Linked DNA regions of Caenorhabditis elegans. The protein of the gene in region 4 interacts with the protein of the main gene of each other region in a pairwise test. Each region holds a gene or a part of one and is shown on either strand. Other genes may lie near its edges. The genes, in order: pfd-2, aap-1, gip-1 and pal-1.

Evidence for each region.
Region 1: the proteins of pal-1 (region 4) and pfd-2 interact in a two-hybrid assay, tested with the Caenorhabditis elegans proteins (one large-scale study listed by BioGRID).
Region 2: the proteins of pal-1 (region 4) and aap-1 interact in a two-hybrid assay, tested with the Caenorhabditis elegans proteins (one large-scale study listed by BioGRID).
Region 3: the proteins of pal-1 (region 4) and gip-1 interact in a two-hybrid assay, tested with the Caenorhabditis elegans proteins (one large-scale study listed by BioGRID).

What each region holds. Positions count from the first base shown.
Region 1 is NC_003280.10:4,324,960-4,328,829, reverse strand, and holds pfd-2 (Prefoldin subunit 2), read right to left. Parts: upstream 2,111-3,870; coding exon 1,841-2,110; intron 841-1,840; coding exon 685-840; 3' UTR 546-684; downstream 1-545. Other genes in the region: mog-2 (putative U2 small nuclear ribonucleoprotein A'), read right to left, coding at 2,963-3,494. UniProt on the Caenorhabditis elegans protein: Binds specifically to cytosolic chaperonin (c-CPN) and transfers target proteins to it. Binds to nascent polypeptide chain and promotes folding in an environment in which there are many competing pathways for nonnative proteins.
Region 2 is NC_003279.8:5,105,961-5,110,727, reverse strand, and holds aap-1 (SH2 domain-containing protein), read right to left. Parts: upstream 2,886-4,767; 5' UTR 2,885-2,885; coding exon 2,712-2,884; intron 2,665-2,711; coding exon 2,405-2,664; intron 2,224-2,404; coding exon 1,958-2,223; intron 1,731-1,957; coding exon 1,299-1,730; intron 1,219-1,298; coding exon 781-1,218; 3' UTR 590-780; downstream 1-589. Other genes in the region: Y110A7A.21 (MARVEL domain-containing protein), read left to right, coding at 1-38, 83-187, 449-589; use-1 (Vesicle transport protein USE1), read right to left, coding at 3,170-3,307, 3,357-3,532, 3,581-3,715, 3,760-3,847, 4,107-4,182, 4,233-4,288, 4,340-4,435; pas-3 (Proteasome subunit alpha type-4), read left to right, coding at 4,683-4,767.
Region 3 is NC_003281.10:2,345,659-2,350,609, forward strand, and holds the start of gip-1 (Gamma tubulin complex component protein N-terminal domain-containing protein), read left to right. Parts: upstream 1-1,932; 5' UTR 1,933-1,936; coding exon 1,937-2,009; intron 2,010-2,978; coding exon 2,979-3,071; intron 3,072-3,120; coding exon 3,121-3,378; intron 3,379-4,588; coding exon 4,589-4,793; intron 4,794-4,951. Other genes in the region: phf-5 (PHD finger-like domain-containing protein 5A), read left to right, coding at 756-923.
Region 4 is NC_003281.10:4,804,162-4,810,614, forward strand, and holds pal-1 (Homeobox protein pal-1), read right to left. Parts: upstream 4,549-6,453; 5' UTR 4,548-4,548; coding exon 4,417-4,547; intron 3,941-4,416; coding exon 3,865-3,940; intron 3,811-3,864; coding exon 3,523-3,810; intron 3,199-3,522; exon of another isoform or gene 3,050-3,198; intron 2,988-3,049; coding exon 2,885-2,987; intron 2,711-2,884; coding exon 2,539-2,710; intron 1,093-2,538; coding exon 1,050-1,092; 3' UTR 548-1,049; downstream 1-547. Other genes in the region: rRNA N(6)-adenosine-methyltransferase metl-5, read left to right, coding at 77-183, 234-361, 412-525; C38D4.7 (C2H2-type domain-containing protein), read right to left, coding at 5,961-6,107, 6,152-6,206, 6,253-6,453. UniProt on the Caenorhabditis elegans protein: Transcriptional activator. Interacts with promoter regions for tbx-8.9, tbx-9, elt-1, hnd-1, scrt-1, and vab-7 genes. Binds the sequence ATTTATGAC. Binds to the enhancer region of the hlh-1 gene promoter during embryonic body wall muscle development.

The DNA.
Region 1 (3,870 bases), on a different chromosome or scaffold from region 4:
TATTTTTTTCATTTTTCTAAAAAAATTGAGAAAGTTCGAATTTTTAAAACTTTTTTTGTTGAGTTTTTTGACTAAATTTATTGATTTTTCTTCACTTTTTGCAGTTTTTTATAATTTGAAACATGGTTTCCCATTTTTCCAGACATTTTTTCTCAAAAAACTGTAAAAGTACCCTAAAAATCGATAGTTTAACATTAAATTATACTTTTTATGGGAAAAAATTTGAAAAAAAAAACCATTTTTTAAGTTAGTAATCAATCAAAAAATGACAAACTTGAAAAATAGTTTTTTTTTCAATTTTTTTCGCAAAAAATATGATTGAATGTTAAATTATCGGTTTTAGGCTACTTTTTCAGTTTTTTTCGAAAAAAAATTCTGAAAATGTGAAAACGATGAAAAAATCGATGAATTTTGTTGAATAACGGGGAAAATATCGAAATTTGGAAAAAAAACTTATTAAACCAAAAAATGTTTTTTTTTTCAAAAAAAAAAAGATAAAATTGGATTTCAAAAACCATAATAAAGCAGTTAAAAATCGAAAAAAAATTCAAATTCAATTTATGCAAGACTTAAGTTCTTTTAACGGGAGCATATAGAAAAAAGGCAACAAACAGAGTAAGAAAAAACGTATGAAAACATGAAAAAGCAGTAGGAAATCGAGAAAAAAATTAAAGCAGGGGAAATTTAAGCTTTTGGCAATTGTCCAAGAGCTTCAGCTTTTCTCAGCTCGGCAGATTCTTTCTCAGTGAGCAGACGAATGTTGTGTGTAGTTTTGTGAGTGTTCAGCTCTTTTCCCTTTTCGACGAGCTGATCGTTGAGCTGCTTCGAGACGATTGTCAACTGCAAAATTTTATTATTTTCGGTAATTCTGGTCAGTTGCACCATGTTTTTCTGCTGAAAATTTGTGACAAAATATAGAAAATCACTCGATTTCTCTTTAAATTACACTATTTTCAATCGAAATATCCAAGATAGAGCTCAAAAATTGCCTGAAAGTTGAACAAAATTCAACTTTCAGACCATTTTTGACCGTTTTCTCAAATATTTTCGTTGAAATTACTGTTATTTTAAGATTAAACCGTTAATTTTCCATGTTTTGACACTGATTTTCAATGAATTTTCGCATTAAAAATGGCAAAATGGCTGTGAAATCATGGTCTTGTGTCGATTTACGCAGCTCGTGTACTCCACGAGGAGAAGTCTGTTTTTTTTTTCAATTTTTTGTATTTAACCATATTAAAATCGTATTTTTACAGTATTTCCCAGCGCAAATTGGGGGTTTCGCTATAAAAAAAACGGAAAATCTGGTTTTTTTTTTCAATTTTTAGGTGTAAAAACGCGAAATTTTGCGCTAAAACTACGATGTCTGATCTCGACACGACATTTGTTTCGAATACATGACGCTGCGCACCTTTAAAGAGTACCCGAATTTGCAAAGTTTCCATCGATTTGTTTATATTTTTTCATTCGATTTGTTAAAATTGAAGTGTTTTATCGAAAAACTACGGAAAATCAATATAAATTCCACAAATTTCAAATTACAGTACTCCTTGAAGGCGCATAGCTTCCAGATACCGTATTTTTGGTGCAACAAATCGGAAAATTCAGTGTTTCAGATGAAAAAATATTTTTTTTTGCTTCAAAAAACTGTCAATTTTCATCGGAAATACTGTAAATCCCCAATTTAAAACGCGTTAAATATAGAAAAAAGGTCGAAAATCAGGTATTTCAGCCGGAATCTGTAAAATCTTCTCCACGAGGAGTACACAAACTCCGTAAATCGACACATGACTGTTTCCTCCGCCTTTTCTTCTATTTTTCCCGACTTTCAAATCCTCACATTAGCGATATTATTCTGCAAATCCGGAATAACATCCTTGACAGTATACTCGACAAGTGTATCACTAATCAAACGGAAGCATTTCTGATCCGGTTCAAGATCCTTGATCACTTCGAGAACACGTCCAAATTCACGTCGTTCCTCTTCGATTCGAGTCACTTCGGCGGCGATATCCTGTTGTTGATCACGTAGAGCCTTGAACTTTTCGACGACTTTTCGTTGCTCTTCTTGCTCGGCTGGAGTGGCGGCGGCGGTTTGAGCGGCCGACATCTGGAAGTTGTGGATTTTTTGAAAATAATTGTTTTAATGGTAGAGAGCCAGTTTTTTTTTGGTTTTTTTTGCCAAAACTGACCAAAAAAAATTTTTATAATTGAAAAAAAAAGATTTTTCAAAATATTTTGCAAAAAAACTAGTGAAAGCCGATTTATTTTTGAATTTCTCACCGATTTTCTACATTTTTGTATTTTCCGGCTTTTTTTATCGGTTTTTCATTGTCACATTTTCAGTCATTTTTCAGCAAAAAAAGTTGAAAACTCTAAAATTAGCCAAAAATCGATAGTTTTTGTGAAAAAAAAAGTCTAAAATTATCGATTTTTAGGGTAATTTTAGAGTTTTAACGCATTTTTTTAAGGGTTTTGAAGTTTTTTTTTTGCGGAAAAATGACAAAAAAACACAAAAAATGGATTATTTTAGGCGAGAATTCAAAAAAAAATCCGCGTTTTTTCCAATTTTTAAACCTTTTTTTTCCAAATAGATATTTGAAGGCGCTGGGAAGTTCCCAGTGGGAACCTCTCAAAATTAATAAAATAATAAAAAATAGCCGGAAAACACAAAAATGGCTGAAAAAGGATTTTTTTCTAACTTTTTGTTGCAAAAATTTCAAAAAATCAAATATAAAAAGGCACGGGGAACCTTTGAAAAATCGATAAAAATATCAAAAATAATAGGGGAAATATTGTTTTATGGTATATAAAAATTACAAAAAAAGGGAAGACAGACTGGGAAAAAATTGGAAAAAAATGAGAATATAAATAAAACAAGGAGTATCATTTTAACATTAAAAAAATCAAATAAAATAAATAAATAAATTTTAGCAGCACATTCTGCAATTTTCAAGATTTTTCAAGACTCCATCGCTTCCCCATCGGCACCATTCTGATCCATCTGACGATTCCATCCCTTTTCCGGAACCTTTCCCGATGCCAGAATCGACTGAAGATAGTTGACTTCACTGAGTGACTTGGCATTCTTGATCGCTTCCTTGATCTTCTCCCGATCTTCATCAGTAAGCCGAGCACCTCCACCCGAACTATTCTCATTTGGTTCAATTTCTGATGGATCTTCTGTATGAACACTCTTCTGAATCGCATCTCTCGCCTTCTTTCCACTTTTTCCTTTGAACATCTTCTTCGCAGCTTCACGTTCTGTCAGTCTGACTCGATTGAAGTCAATCACTCGAACCGTCGGCAGCTTGTAGATCATATACATCCGATAATTGTCCTTGTGAGTTATCGGATTTCCGATAAATGTCACGTACTCGAGCTTCTTGCATTCTGCCAGTGGCTCAATGTCTCCGAGCTCGCAAATGTTGTTGTTGGTCAGTGCAAGAGTTTTGAGATTTGGAAGTTTTGTGGCAATGTCGGGTGCGATATAGCTGAAAATATGGGGTAAATTGGTGGGAATGGAGCTCGAAAATGTGGGAAAAAAGCAGTTTTGCAATGAAAAATGGAGGGTTTTTAATTTTTTTTCAGGAAATAGTAACCATAAAATTTAAATTTTTGAAGAATAAATTAGAGAAAGTATTTTAAAAATTTGAAAATGACCAAAATTTTAGGATATTTTCTGAAAAATCGATTTTTTCCCCTACTTTCCGAAAAAAACTTCGATTTTTCGAAAAATGGCTTAAAATTTTTCGAACTTTTTCAGGAAAAAAATTATATTTTTCCTATGTTCTTTCATAAAAAACTGATTTTTTCGTTTTTTTTTTTTGGAAAAAATAGCGAAATCCGGCTAAATCTGAATTTTTCGCC
Region 2 (4,767 bases), on a different chromosome or scaffold from region 4:
ATATTAATGAGACTGAACCAGATGAATGGGTTTTTTGGGTAAGAATATATTGAATTATTTATTTTTTTCGAGTTTTCTACAGGAAAGCGTCTTCATTTCATCATTCTCATTTTTGTTCACAATCAATACACTGACCATGTTGTACAGTTCGATTCGATGGAATAATACGGCCTGGTGGCTGGCAACGGTATGTTATGCAAAATGTGAAAACGCGCTCCACGGCAATTGACAACGCCCGCCCCCAAACCATGGGTCTCGTTAGATATTTGTCGGCAAAACCGTAAATTCAAACTTTTTGACTTAATTCCGCCACTTTGGCGAAATAAGCAAAAATGAAAATAAAAACATTTGAATGTACGGATTCGCCTCCAAATACCTAACGAGACCCATGGTTTGGGGGCGGAGCGTTTTCAAATTGCCGTGGAGCGCGAAAGAAAATCAATTTCAGGTTGTCTGCGCTTTGGTGACAGTCTCGTTTCTTCTCAGTCTGTTACATGTGATGAAAAACCAAACGAAAGGTCATATTACTGTTAAACAGGAGGAGAATGTTGTGCGATTTAATACGCGGATGAACCGCCGACGGATTTGAATTTATATCAATAAATGTACAATTTGACAATTCATATAAATACTGATAATAAATACATTTAAGACACAAATAAAACGTAAGTAACTTAGAAGAAAGTGATCAGAGAACTGTGGGTTTACTATCAGATCGGATGGGGGACAAGTGGATGTAATTGAACCGAGTATATGTAAGTAATTGATTTAAATATATAACTATTCCGGGATGGATTTAGGAAGAGTAGTTGGATGAACCAATCGGGAATCAGATGATGAAGGAGTATCCGGAGATGGAGAATCCCATGAATCCGGTCTTGGTTCCGGTGATTCAGGTGGCTTAGTGGGATCATCAGTGAGAAGAGCCTTCTCCATATATTTCCTGGATATTGGCAAAGCCGTAAAAACTTGTCCGGGTCCGTTACGAAGAGGTTTTGAAGTATCACTTGTGACAGCGTCAAATGCGGGCGTACGAAGTGGAGTTTTGATAGCATCCGCGTGGGTTTCAAGACTGAAGTGAGAGTAATAGCGAACGAAGTCACTTATAGTTGTCAGGTAGACATTGCTGTGCTCGAATCCCCATCCTTCTTCGTTTTGTTCGATTAGACAATGTGAGACACGTTCTCCGTGAAGTACACTCAATACGAGCTTATCACCCTGAAAAATATTCAATTCAATTCAAAAATTAGCGTGAATGAGGATGAAAAGTTATTCTTCTGATAAAATCATAAACTAACATGAGAAGAGGATCCTCGAATCAAGAAAATACCATCTTGTGGCTCTCTTTTCAATCCAACAGCCTTGTCAAGTTGAGCGATCCGATAGCGAGCATGAATCAGAGCATTCGCAGCATTTTCCTTAGAAGTTCCACACATCAAATATTGTGCCGGTGTCCACTTCAATTCCATATCGACAAGAAGTTGAGTGACTTTCGTTGGCTCACTGTTTATCATTTCCGCTCCAGCATCAAGCATTGCAGCCATTCTCGAACAAAGTGCTGGTTCCATTTTATCATAGACTGCACTACGAAGTTCCATAAGCTTGCAGAGTCGTGTTTTTGAATTGGATCTTTTCATCGCGATTTCATCCAAAATTCCGGAGAGCGTCTTTTTCTTATCCTTTGATGACGTCAGTTCAGTGTTTATTCGTCGAATACTTTCTTCCACAAACTGCAAAATAAAAAAGATAAAATTCAAAACTATAATGGTTAAAAATTGAGGATTTGCTCTAAAATCATTTTTAAAAAACCGAGAAAAAAATTGAGCAAAAATTAATAATCCAGCTTTGAAAATATTGAGTTTTGGCTAAATAACAATTTTAAATTGAACTTCTTTTTTTTGCTTTAGAATTGTTTTTTTTTGGTTTTGGATGTTTTTTTTCTTCAAAAAACGCTTACTGTCTTATTATTTGCAAATGCTCCTTTGAGCATTTCACTTGTTGTCTGCGATCCCTGTATTTGTGTAACGACGTCTGTTTCAGCTTCTAACAAATTATTCAGTTTTCCAAGTTTAATCTCATTGTCCCGAACTGATTGATTCAAAGCATGATAGAGACTTTCAGCTCGTTCCATTTCTTGATGAGCTGAATCATATAGCTTGGCTCCTCTCTCAAATGCCAAATGTACTGCTCTCAAATTTTCCATTTCCAAGCGTTCTCTCCAATCTAAAAAAAGCATTAAATTTACTAATTTTTATTTTTTTCAATCACTCAGACGCGAAATTTTGCCACTTTCGCGATAAAAATATGGTACGAGGTCTTGAAACGACAAGAGAAATTCCGCAGCAATTAAAGTTTGAAATTACAGTATTTTTAAATTTAGCGTTTGCGTTATAAAATAATTTACCATGATCATTTTTTGCACTGAGAATCATACGCTGCTGAAGTTGCCCCTTCTTGAAAAATGGTTTTCCATTTTGAGAGTTACGACGAACAGAAACTGGATATAAAAGACGAACATCAAGTGCATCATTGAAAATATTGAGAGAAATATTTCGATGAAATTCAATTAATCTGACAACAGAATCGTGAGTTAATGAATCTGTATTGAATCCGCATTTTCCATCTTTAACAACGATTCGGAGAAGTTTCACTTGGGCGGCAAATCTGAAAAAAGGACTATTAATATTGAATACTAATTTTGAAAAACCCACTTCACAGAAAGTGTATAATCTCCAGGTGTACTAGCATTTCTCACAATAAATGATCCATCAGGTTGATCAGAAAGTGCTTTCGAAACTGCAGATCTATCAGCATCAGCCCAGTACCATCCTTGTTCCATAAGACTATGAGTGACTCCATGAGGAGTTCCAGGTGTTGTGCTCATTCTGAATCCTTATATATATATATATATATATAATTAACGGAGGAGAAGAATCTGTGGTGTTTTTGCCGAAGTAGACTAAATCTGGCACAAGACCAAGCCGAGACCAAAAAGCAAAGCATTGAAATTTGTGAAAACACCAAAAAAAACCAACAAAAAAAGTATGTATAACATGGTCTGTAGACCAATGGAAATATCAACGAGAAAAAAAATTCGAAGAATGCAAATAATTAAATAATTTTATTTGAAATATTTACACCCATAAATACTAGCAATTCGTCCCGACTATTAAGTGCTCGCTTTTTTGAAAATTTTCATCATAAGAACCATTGATACGAAGCTCATAAAAATCAGAACAATGAGCATGACCTTGAAACAGTCATAACCACATTTGTAGGCGTGACGCTCAACTCGCTCACTTTGAATCTGGAAATTTTAAGACTATTATTTGAAGTTTATATAGTGAAGAAATTACCCCGAGAGCTGTTTTATTATCATCGACTTCTTTCGCCATTAATATTGCTCTTTCTGTATCTTCTTTAATCACATCTCCAGCAGCCGACATCATCGTTTTGAATGATCTCGCCATAGTGGCCAAACTATTTGCTAGCTCCTCCTCGACAAGCTCATTTTTCATGAATTCCTGATCTTCTATAAAATTTGACGAATTTTGAACAATCATTGGATACTAATTTTTACCAGATGTGTCTTGTGCTCTATGTTTATTAGATGAAAGCAACTGCTTCCGAAGATCTGATCGATAGATGGATCGTTGAGTAGCTCGGAGTCCAGCTGCGGATTCTTTTTCAAAATCGTAACTTTCCGCCTCGTTATCTGCAATATAAACATTAAAATGAAATATTGAATAATTCAAAAACCATTCTTGGAGTCTGCAACAGTTACTTGGACATCGGGAAATACACGTGGAATTTTTTCAATCACTTTCAGGCGCTCCTCGGCTGACGACTGGAAAACTTACTGACAATTTCATAACAGTTGCGAAATTCACAAAATATTTAAAGCTGTTCAACTTGTTTTCTTTACTTAAATCTAAATTGAAAAGAGGGACATAAAATCTACGGAACATTTGCATAATATTTTAGGATTAAATTTTTAATTGAAACAAATCAAACAAATTCAAATTAAGTTTAGAAATTATGTAAAAATTTGTATCTTTAAAGCAAAATTACAAGATCGAATTTGCTTGTCTAAAATATCTACAAACCTTGCTTTCAGCTTCAGCGAGTAATTTCAGTTGCAAGACTTCCTGTCGGTACTCGTGGAGAATATCATTTGTGGTTCTGGAAAAGTAAAACTATAAATATTAAAAAATGTATTTTGAAAAACTCACTCATCGTTTTGAAGTGTATAAATCATTTTATTGAGAATCTTTGTAGCTGCAGAAACCTGAAATAAGAAAAATAATTAATTAAACAGAACTTAAAATGTGATACTTGCTTTCCAAACGTTTGCTGACATATCCTCTTTTGTCAAGCGCTTTGTTCGCTCGAGAAGTCGTAGAAATTTCAGCTCATTTTCAGAAATATACGCCATTTCATTGATGTTTTGACAAAATTAGATAAAAAAATAAAAATAAACGTTGACAACTTGAAAACAAATAAGTTCGGCCACGGCCGAGAAATACAAAAATGCAAATGCGCTCATGCGCGAAAAAATTTTCAAGTCATCCTTTTTGTCGAGGACTGAGAGATTCTTCTTGTTTTATGTAATTTTTCTATAGGTTTCTGCCGTTTATATTTTAAAATCATATTTGTCTAGATTATCTTTATATTTTCAGAGAATGGCCCGTCGTTACGATAGTAGAACGACCATCTTCTCTCCGGAGGGAAGACTGTATCAAGTCGAATATGCTATGGAGGCTATCA
Region 3 (4,951 bases), 2.5 Mb from region 4:
AAAATGTGTTTTTAGCGAAAAAAAATGCCTCGAAATATAAATTTTTAATTTTTAATCTGAAAATTCCCGTGAAAAATGGGAAAATTTTCGAATTTTTCATGTTTTTTCGACTAAAAAGTCGAAAATTTTGTGAAATTTCTCGAAAAAATTGAAGTTTTCTCAATTTTCCAGCTTTTCCCCCTCAAAATGCTCCAATTTTCAGGATATTTTCATATATATTTTTTTTTTTTTTTTTTTTTTTTTTAAATTGTGAAAAACGTTGAAAAGTTCACTTTGGAAAAAGAAAAATATGGAAAAATTCAAATTTTCCACTAAAAATTGACATTATTTGCGGAAATTACCAGCTTTTCGGCGTAAAAAACGCTAAATTTGTCAGTTTTCCGCAAAAAATGCTCGAAAATCCAAAATTTTGTGAAATTTCTCTCAAAAAACGCGTGAAAAACGCTATTCAAAAAAGTGCAATTTTCAGCTTTTTTTTACTAATTTTTTCTTTAAAAAATTCAAATTTTTGACTGGATTTCTTCAAATTCTCCATTAAAAACGGGTTTTTACTCAGAAAAGAGGGGAAAAACCAGGAAAATTGAAAAATTTTCATATTTTTCGACTGAAAAATGCAAAATTTTGTGAAATTTCTCTCAAAAAACGAGTGAAAAACGGCAAAATTTACAAATTTTTCTAAAAAAAAATCGGAAAAACGCGAAATTTTCATGTTTTTTTTCGGCTAAAAATTAAAATTTCCATTTTTTTTTTTGCAGGGTCGGTGTGTGATTTGTGGTGGCGCTGGCGTCAGTGATGCATATTATTGCAAAGAATGCACAATTCTCGAAAAGGATCGTGACGGATGCCCGAAAATTGTGAATTTGGGAAGTGCGAAGACGGATTTGTTCTACGAACGAAAGAAATTCGGATCGAAAAAGTCGTAGAAATTGGCTTTTTGGCGGCGAAAATGAGCGAAAAATCACAAAATTTCGCCGAATTTTCACCTATATCACCTCTAATTTATCAAAAATGTTCCAATTTTCTGTTAATTTCCACTTTTTTCCGCTGAAAATTCCTATTTTTCTTGAAATCTGACTGAAATTTGGCTAAAAATGAGCTGGAAATATCGAAATTTGGCTGAAATCGTAAAATTCCCTTTTTGTTCCCTGAAAATTGAGCAAAAATGTCAAAATTTTGGCATTTTTGACCAAATTTTGCCTATTTTTGTGAAAATTTGCCTTTTTTTTTCGTTGTTTTTATCGAAATTTTGCTGAAATCGCGATTTTTTCCACTATTTTTCCCTAAAACATCCCTTTTTTACTGGAAATTTGGGCAACATTTTGGCATTTTTGCCTATTTTTGTGAAAATGTTACCATTTTATTGAAAAATTAGCTTAAAATGACAATATTTTCCTAAAAATTTCGAATTTCCGTGAAAAATAGCCAAAATGTCACTTATTTCAGTTAAAAATATGCCATTTCCCTGAAATTTGGCTGAAAATTCGCCTATTTTCACTTAAAATTCCGCAAAAAGCCCTTTTTTTCACTCAAAATGTTCAATTTTTCCCTGAAATTTGCCTGAAAAATCGATATTTTCACTCATTTTCACCTTAAAAATTGTCTTTTTCCCCCATTTTTTCCAATTTTCCTCTACCCTTTTATCAATTTTCGAATAAATTATCGATTTTTCTGTAATTTTTCCCTTTTTTTGCTGTGTTGTGCTGGTTTTGTTACCTATTTGTGTATATTTATCTCTATTTTTTACGGGAATTTTCAGTTTTCCCCGAATTTTTCTGAATTAAAATCACTAAAAATCGATTTTTCTTCCTGAAAATTGGGTAATTTTGCGAGAAATTTAATTTTTGTTTAAAAAAAAACTAAAATCTGAATATTTTTTGGAGAAAATTAACCAAAAACTTGAAATTTTATGAAAAAAAAATGGAAAAATTTCAGATAAATGCGTCGACAAGGCAGCGAAGAAGTTGAAGCTGTACAGCAATTTTTAAATGCTTTCGGGTTTCATGATAGAGGTAATTGGATTGAATTTTAGAAGAAAAAACACCGAAAAAGCCGAAAAATTGACTGAAAAATCGAATTTCTGACGAAAAAATGAGATTTTCCATAAAATATCAATAATTTCAAGTAAATATTCGAATTTCGAGGGGTACGGTAGCACCAAAAGTACGCAAACACTGTGGTACACCAAATCTTACGACATTTTGCAGAAAAACTCCTGAAATTATAATAAGAGTTCAGATTTTTTTCATCAAAAGAATATATTGGTGGCCGAACTCCTTGGATTTTTTTAGGCCACGATTTTCTGAGCCAAAAATTTTATTTTGAATTTTTCGTTCAAATCTCGTTTTTTACTAGAGAAACTCCAATTTCGGCTTTTTTTCTCTTGGTTGCCTAACTTTTTTTTTAGATTTCTAGGCCACCCATTAAAAATAGACCGTTTTATTTGATTTTCTACATAAAAACGGGGATTTTGAATTTTGAATAATTCAAATTTTAAAACCAAAATTTTAATTTTAAGTCTTTTTTTTTTTTGAGATATTTGAAATTTTCTAGACGGTTTTTTGGTGATGAATCGGTTTTTATTAGAATTTCAACTATAAAAACCGAATTCTAGTCAGTTTTTGGATTTAAAATCAATTGGTGGCCGAACTTGTTGGATTTCTAGGCTACCAAACTTCTGAACATTTTCCCCTGTGACTCTTGTGCCTCTATTCGTATTGATTGCAGTAAAAACGGGTATTTATTCACATTTTTAGCCTTAAATTGGCTTAAAATGTGAATAAATACCGTATTTCTGCAAACAATTTGACAATAGAGCACATTTGTCACTTGGAGATGCGGAAGCTATGCCCAAATTTTCATTTTCAAGCCGAAAAACTTGTGAATTTTCGCGATTTTTGCACAAAAAAAACCATTTTCAGCCGATTTTTCCGTAGAAAAACGGATTTTTAATCAAAATTTTGCAATTTTCTGTATTTCAGATGTGATAAAAGTTCAAGAAGGGCTATTCCACAGCCGTCAGCTCAACGATGTGAACGCTTCGAGAACATGTGTAGATCAATTTGTTAAGAAATGTATGAAATTCCAGGGAAAAAACCAAAAAAAAAAGCGGCAGTTTTCCAGGCGAACTTCGTGATCCGAACGGAATAAAACCGCTTCGCAAAAAAATCGATGCTCTGATGAACGAATCGGTAGAAATGAATTATATGATGGATTTTCTTGTGAGATGTCGACAGGCTCACTTATTTCATAATGAAACAATAAGAAATAGTCCGAGTATTGGTCTGGGATCCATTGGAGGTACCCCGACCAATTCGATTCCATCCTCATCGCCGTTTCAAAGAAGATCTGCAAGTCGTGGACGGGTGCTCAGCACGCTGAGTTCGGTGTTTTACCGGTTTTAGCCGCGAAAAATTGTGAAAAAACGGAGCAAATATCACTGAAAAGTCGATAATTTATTTGAAAATTGACATTTATTTTCATTAAAAATTCGAAAAATTAGACATTTTCGGTCAAATTTGACCTGAATTTTATAAAAATATTTTTTTTCTCCTTAAAAGTTGAAGATTGTGCTTATTTTTGTTCGATTTTCGAGAAAAAATGCTGAAATAAAACCTACAAAAATGTGGAAAATTGAAAAAAAAAAGTTTTTTTTTTCATTAATTTTCAATAGAAAAAAAAACGAAATTTTTGCCATGATTAAGTGGCCGAACTTTTTGGATTTCTAGGCCACCAGTCGGAAAACTCGGATTTTTAGAAATTTTTTATTAAATTTCTAATTCTCAAGCAACAATTATTGCGTTTTTTTTCATTAATTTTTTTTTAATTTTTGAGGCTTTTTTTTGGCGAAGAGTCGCTTTTTAATCGAATTTTGAATATAAAAACTGAATTCTATGTGGTTTTTGGATTTAAAATCATTCGGTGGCCGAACTCTTTGGATTTCTAGGCCACAAAATTTTTGAACTATTTTCCCCTGTGACTTATGTGCCTCTACTCGTTTTTTTTTGTTTGCACTAAAAACTGTATTTATTCACATTTTCATCCTCAAATTGGGCTGAAAATGTGAATAAATACCGTATTTCTGCCAACAATTTGACAATAGAGCACATTTGTCACTCGGAGATGCGGAAGCTATGCCCAAATTTTCATTTTTCACCCGATTTTTAGCATATTTTTGGGGTTTTGATGGATTTTAAGTGTTGAAATCGGTTTCAGCTAAGAAATTTTCGGTGACCGATCTTTATGGAATTCTAGGCCACCAAGCTGATTTTGAGCCAAAAAGCTATGCTCAAATTTTTATTTTCGCAATAAGATTTGCAATTTTCCATAGAATCATTCCACAAAAATCAAATTTTGAGCAAATCCCCAAACACTGTGGCCTAACTTTTTGCAAGTTTTTAGGCCACCCATTAGAACTTTGGCGTTTTTTCTCGAATTTTCTACAAATTTCTATGTAAAAATGTATTGAAATTGAGAAAAACTACAAATTCAAGCCTATTTTCGCTTTAAAAATCATGAAAAATCATTTTTTTTTAATTGGAAATTCACAGAAAATTGGCGAATTTTTCCATAAAACTAGTGAATTTTCCAGCCGGAGACCAACAAACTCCATCAATTGCCGATTCATCGTCTCGTTCTCGTGCCAATTCCTCATTTACTGCCTATGACAATCGAATGCTTGGAATGGAACGCCAATTGGCTGGAAATATGGCTCAACGGCCACGGAGTCCGTATACAATTAATGGAATACCAACTACGAGGGTTCAGCCGATTAGCGCCAGCAATCAGCTTTTTACGTGCGTAATTTTCGAGAAAATTTGAGGAAATTTGGTTGAAAATACCGAATTCACCGCTAATTTTCACCCCTAGCACACTTTTTCCGGGTTACTGTAGCTTTAAAAGTACGCCAACACCAGATCTAACGACATTTTTCAGAAAATCGCGAAAAAATGAG
Region 4 (6,453 bases):
AGACCGGGTACCGTATTTTCGGCTAAAAATCGTATTTGGGTAATAATAAAAAATTAAAAACTTTCAATTCTTCCAGATGCGAGCTTCTACAAGCCGACATTCTCGACCCGGAATCCGATCTTCCACGTGGCACATTCGACGTGGCTGTCATTAATCCTCCATTTGGAACAAAAAATAATGCAGGTAAATATCCAACGATCTCCTAAAACGTTACAATATCTTAAATTTCTCAGGAATCGATATGCAATTTGTCCAAATCGGTCTTCAAATGGTTCGGCCTGGTGGAAGTGTATTTTCACTTCATAAATCATCAACTAGAGATTATATTCTAAAAAATGCAAAGAAATGGGACGGAGTTGGGGTTTGTTTTTAAATTATTCTAAAATTAGAAAAAAAAATATTGAGTTTCAGGCAGAATGTTGTGCAGAAATGCGGTGGCAACTACCAGCGACTTACAAATTCCATAAACAAAAGGCCGTGGATATTGCCGTCGATTTAATACATTTCAAAAAACTGGATAGTTAATCTCATCAATTTCTGCTGTAAATTCTTCAAAATTGTTTCATTGTTTTGTTATAAAAAATATGCAATCAAGATATGTGAGAAAAGCAAAGAATTCTCTAAACTTTTCCAAAAAATAGAAAACATGTTCAAAATGGATCCGTTCAGAGTGGGAAGTAAATACATAACAAATGGGGACCTAAACTTTTTCCTAAACCTTGAGAAGGGTAAGAAACAAGAAATCACAATAAATAAAGAAGCTCTATATTAGGGAATAATTCATTAGAGAATGATTGGATTAGTTTACAAAGCAGAAGGAATGATCGGAAAGTTATAAATATATATATATATATGTTAAGGGCAGTGATGATTAGAATATTCTGATGTGAGAGAATGGGAGATGGGACAGGAAGAAATTATATAAAAGTGTGAATTTAACCGTATTCAAGCGAGAGAAATGTAAAAATATAATAAATGTGTACAATATTCTAGAAAAATATGAAAATTCCCAGAATTTTTGTACATTTTCTTTGTAAGTAGATGAGTACTTATAGCCGAATCTTCTGTTTGTCACGACGATCCTTTGCACGCCTGCAATTAAAAATATTACAGTATTATTACGGAAATTAACAATTTATCAGAATATATTGAGATCAAAAAGATGCCGTCCCAGTGGTGAATTCAAAAAAAATACGCTTTTCAAAGAAAAGGGATAGGGAACATCAATCTTTTGGTTTATATTCCCTTTCTTTTAATGAATACAATGACCGGTATGGTTCGTCCGTATGTTACCTCTTCCCAGGAAAACGGCGGTCACGTCTGTCCAACACAGTATGTATGTCTGTTTGGATTGGGACGCTACAGGAAAGGGACACACACATTGATTTCCATTTTACAGCACTCTGGGAATCTCTGCCGACGACGTTTCTATTCCCCTCGTAAATCTTTCGATGCGCACTAATATTGTCAAACAAGGCAACAGACAACAAAAAAAACGACTGTTGAGCAGATAATTGGTATATCTCTGCGAGCTGGTCAGAAACCCTTGCTTTATCATTTCTGTAGACTCTTTCATTGAGCTAGAACCTCACCTAATTAAATAAAGGCAAAAACTTGAAATTTGGGGCATTTTGAGTATATTTTTTTGCAAACCTACAAACGATACTCTCCCTTTAACATGCGAGTGAAGGAGATTAACAGTAGCACTTTACGGGAAGTGTTTTATCCCAATAACTTGGAAATTCGCACTAGATATCCTATTCCCTTGTTAATTTCCAAATCCCCGAACGCGTAGATAGCCACACATGCAAGCAGTGACCACCTCTCTTCTACAGTAATACCAATTAGAAAGTCGTAAACGGACCAATTAACAAACTTCATCTCTTCCTCACCTCCACCAGCACGTCTCAAACACTGTGGCCTCCAATTACACAACTTTACGACTCTTTAATTCCTTGGAACTATCTCTACTGCGCGCGTGGACTGAACTGAATCTTAAAGAACGAAAGTGTGGTGGTACTTTTTCCTATGGTTACAGTAGGAGGTGACAGTCATTGTGATGAGTCCCCTGGAAAAGCCTGAGAAAGAGTAAGCAAACAGCAAACAGCAAACAACGTATTTGGCTCGAAAGGGCGCGGAATGAATGAATTCAAATGAGATTTGCAGAGGGCAACATCATCTGTTAATTAAATGACGTTGTGAAATATGTGTCAATATTTGAAGTCTAATCTCATGATTCCAATAAACCAAATTAAACTTTCAGATCTATTAATATGACATCTCACACCATAACAATCCCAATTTGCCACCTCTCATCATATAAATTGAGGTCACTCTAACACTCTTTCACGGCTAAAGACTCTCCTGCTACCTGCCACACGGGTCGAATTGCGTAAGCACCGTAACTCATACACCGCATCACCTTTACCGCCTTTCATCTCTGTGCCAAATCAAGAAAACTTGATATTATTTTGGTGTCTTCAAATTTGTAGTAATCAATCATCCCATTTTAGGCAGTGAGTTTAAAAAAGAATCTACCTATTTTGAAACCAAATCTTGATTTGTCGTTCTGTCAAGCTTAACATCGTCGACAATTGGGACTTGCGATCTGATGTTATGAATGGCGATGTATGGAATTCTTTTTCCAGTTCAAGGCGTTGATAATCCGAGTAAACCATACGGTATTTGTCAGCTGTTCGTACACGGACATCTGAAAATAAGTTTAATTACAAACTCCCTCGTAATAAAATGGGAAATTGATGGGAAAGGAATCATAAATACTCAATTCATTTGTCCTAGTTACTGATAAATATGACTGATAGCGGCTTCTTTTTCACTTGAAGAGAGATTGTTTGCACACGGGGAGACTCTTTTGAAAACTTACTATTCGTTCCAGGTCCCGTTGGTAATGTTTTCCCATCACTGCTTGATCTTCGATCCTTTCCATGATTGTTTCCAAGAGGCATTTTCCACGAGAATCCCTGAAACTTAAATTATCTTTAAAACAAGCTCACTTGGAGGAGAACTAACAGATCAAAAATTGGCTGCTTTATTAGACTTATTAGACATTATTAGAGATATTTATTAGACAAGTTACCACAAACGACAGAATTTCCTAATTTTATGGCAGCTTAAAATATCGAAAAGAGCCAAAAATGCTGAAATCTAAAATTTTATCAACTTATCCTTGTCTAGTAGCTGAAATACAGTTTTTAGTAAGTTTTCATTTTTCATTGCATATTTTGGTAATTTATCTCGTGTTAATTCGTTGATTTAGGCGCGTTCTAAGCCGATAGGCACTGAATTTTTGTAATTTTTGGAAGTAGACTGCTTAAATCAATGAATAAACGCGAGTAGCCGTACCTAAAATATGCAATAAAAAATAAAATTCAATAAAAACTGTACCAACAATTTAGAGTCATAAAAAATGTGAACAGTTTTTGAAAAGTCTCGCTAGGAAATTATGTTTTTTGGTGTTATAAAAGCCAACAAAGGTATTAAAATACAATTTTATATGATTACCTGTTGATAATCCATAAACGGCCAAACAGATTGCTGATAACACGTGGCAGCTCTCATCTGGTAGTTGGCTGCAGCAGCAGCAGCTGCTGAAAGCTCTGAAGAAGATGCAGCTCCAGATGATGTTGATGGGAACGGTGTCATCATATCACTCGGTGATGGATACATTCCACTATCACTACTGCTACTTCCATTCGAAAGCGGTGGCTTCACATCAACGGCTTCTACTGCTGGAATTTGTCCGTTGGCAGCGAGTTGTGGAAGGCCGAATGGATAGAGATCCGGATGTCCCTGGAAATTCAATTTTTAAATAAAAAACCTTAAGGAAATTCATTCAAAACGTACGTAAAAACCAGTATCACCCATTTGTGACCACCTTCCATAGATTTGTGGATCAAATGTTGGTTGCAGCATCTTTTCTCTGAAAAAAGAAAATTAAGTATAAAATGAAAAAAAAAAACAAGAAAAACTTCAAAATATAGCACCTCCTTAATCAAATGTTCTTGTCAATTGATACACACACACACGCCTATTACCTCTTAGACACCCTCCCGCTTCATTCCAACGGTGGAAATGGGCGGAGCAATGTCTTCCAATACACTGTGGAGGCGGGGCGTTACCGTACCCTCCGGATAGATCGAAAATTTGCATATAACCTTTCAAACAAATTCTATCATCAAAAAGGCGACAATATTTGAGAATAAATACATGGTTAGCAAATATTTTGAAGGAGATAAATAAGAGAAAGGGCATGGATTTACAACCATGTGTGTGTGCTGGATTATTAAATATTTATGGTATTTAATTTTGTTCACTTGGTCGTAATGAAACACCAACAGGAAATATTTAATTTTTCGTTGATTTTGAGATTCCAAATAAAAATTTCGAAGATCTAGCCTCAGAGGATGTGGTTGCATGAATGGCATCATTGGATAGTGAGGCCACGTGACATCTGCTGGAACTGTTGTTGGTGAAGGTGTTGATGAGGACTCGTTTTCCGAAAAATCCGACTTGACATCGACCGACATTCTGAAAACGAGGAAGTAATTATCAGTTTATATAGAGAAAAGTGAACAGTAATAAAAATTCAAAATTTGAAGGAAGATTTTCGAGATTTGATGAGAATAGCAATAAAATAACGAGCTGGCAACCCGGCACCGCCTCCTGCGGCTCATTGAGCACTTGGGAAGGCGGGATTTATCAGATATGAACGGGAGAGGGAATTGTGAATGATTTATAGCCACACGTCGATTTTCAGACAAACATATCACTTTTACAATGAGACAGGTCGGCAAGGAAACAAAAACGCCCAGTTCGTTGGGAAATAAATTATTGGTCTGTGCAGGAAACTGTCCGAGACTGTATTCGAAGATGGATTTTCTTACTTTAATAAAATATGCGTTTTTAGAATTGATTTTTAGCATTGAAATTAGCAAGACAAATATAAAAGAAACGTTAAAACTCAACAGAAATGAAGAACAGAAAAAAATTAACACTGAAAAATTTTTACTGACTGATCAGCTCAATAGAGCGCACTTTCCACTTGTCGATTTACGAAGATTTTTATTTAATTTATTGTTCAATAGTTAACTTGCTGTTAAATATCTTTTTATTTAAATAAATATTTTAAAAATTATAAAATTTTGAAAAAGATTAGAAAAAATCATCTAGCCAAAAATTAAGAAAAGAAGAATTTTAGCCACTAAATTTAATTTCAATGAGATCCCGCCTTTAAAATAATTTGAAAAATAGATCACTCACCTCATATTTGATCTACTCGCCCAAATAATAGTAAGTCTACCGGCCATTGAGCCCATCTGGAATTGAGGTTCCATTACGATGTTCATTAGGAAATAAATGAGCGATGAAAGTTTAATTGAGTACGATACGAATGAGCATTTATGACTGACAGGTTCATGTGGAGCAAAGATTACGGTAGCAGAGAATTATTTCTCTTATCAGAAACGAGTGATCTATTAAATAGTTATTCTAAAAGTTGGAGATTCTTAACAAAAAATGTTGCTGAAATCGACAATTTGTCCTCCAAAGATTTGATATAAAAGGCAACAATGAGACCGCCCTTTGACTGATTATGTACCTTCTTTCAGAACATTAAACATTTACGATCTGGGAACTCTGCAGCTGTCATGAAGAACAACAAATGGAGCATCTGAAAATATCAAAGAGTCGCTTACTACTCGATTTCATGCACTATCAAGTTTGACCTGAATATGACCCGGCTGTCTGTTGCGTAATCGTTTTGCTCTTTGTGCATCTATGATACCGCCGTGAGAAGAGCCGCGTCTCGTATTTATTGCCACCCACTGTTGGGAATAGTTAGATAGCTGGTAGGAGAAACAAGATTTATTTACTATAAAATTTATTTGTATCAAAAAAGCTTAAATTTTAAAACAAAAACGAATATAAATTAAAAAAGAAATTTAACACGAGGTCTGCTTTATTCGCAGTGACCTTCTCGCCCCAAGTTCGCCGGCGTGGTTGTTTGAAAAGTGATCCACGAGCTGCTCCTTCGTCTGGGAAACTTCATTGCAGGTCCTGCATCGGAAGCTCTTGAATTTTTCAAGATCCTGAAAAACAACTTCAACTAATTTTTTATAATTTTCAGGCTTACCTTATCGTACTGAGATCCTTTCCCCACCAGCACTGCACCGATGAACACATTATCTCTGAAACTCTCATTTAAATTGAAAAAAAAAACACAACTAGAATTACCTTTCAGCAGATCGTCCATGGTTTCTGTTTTCCTCATCTCGAATCTTTTTCAACTCCTTTGCAGCATCAACAGGTGCTCCGGTCCGCTTGGCTAAATTGGATTGACGAACAACGGCAGACTTGACTCTTTTCGCTGGTTTGAGGGAGCTGGACGATGGATTCTTTTGACCAACCACATCATATGACGAAGCGTGGCTCCTA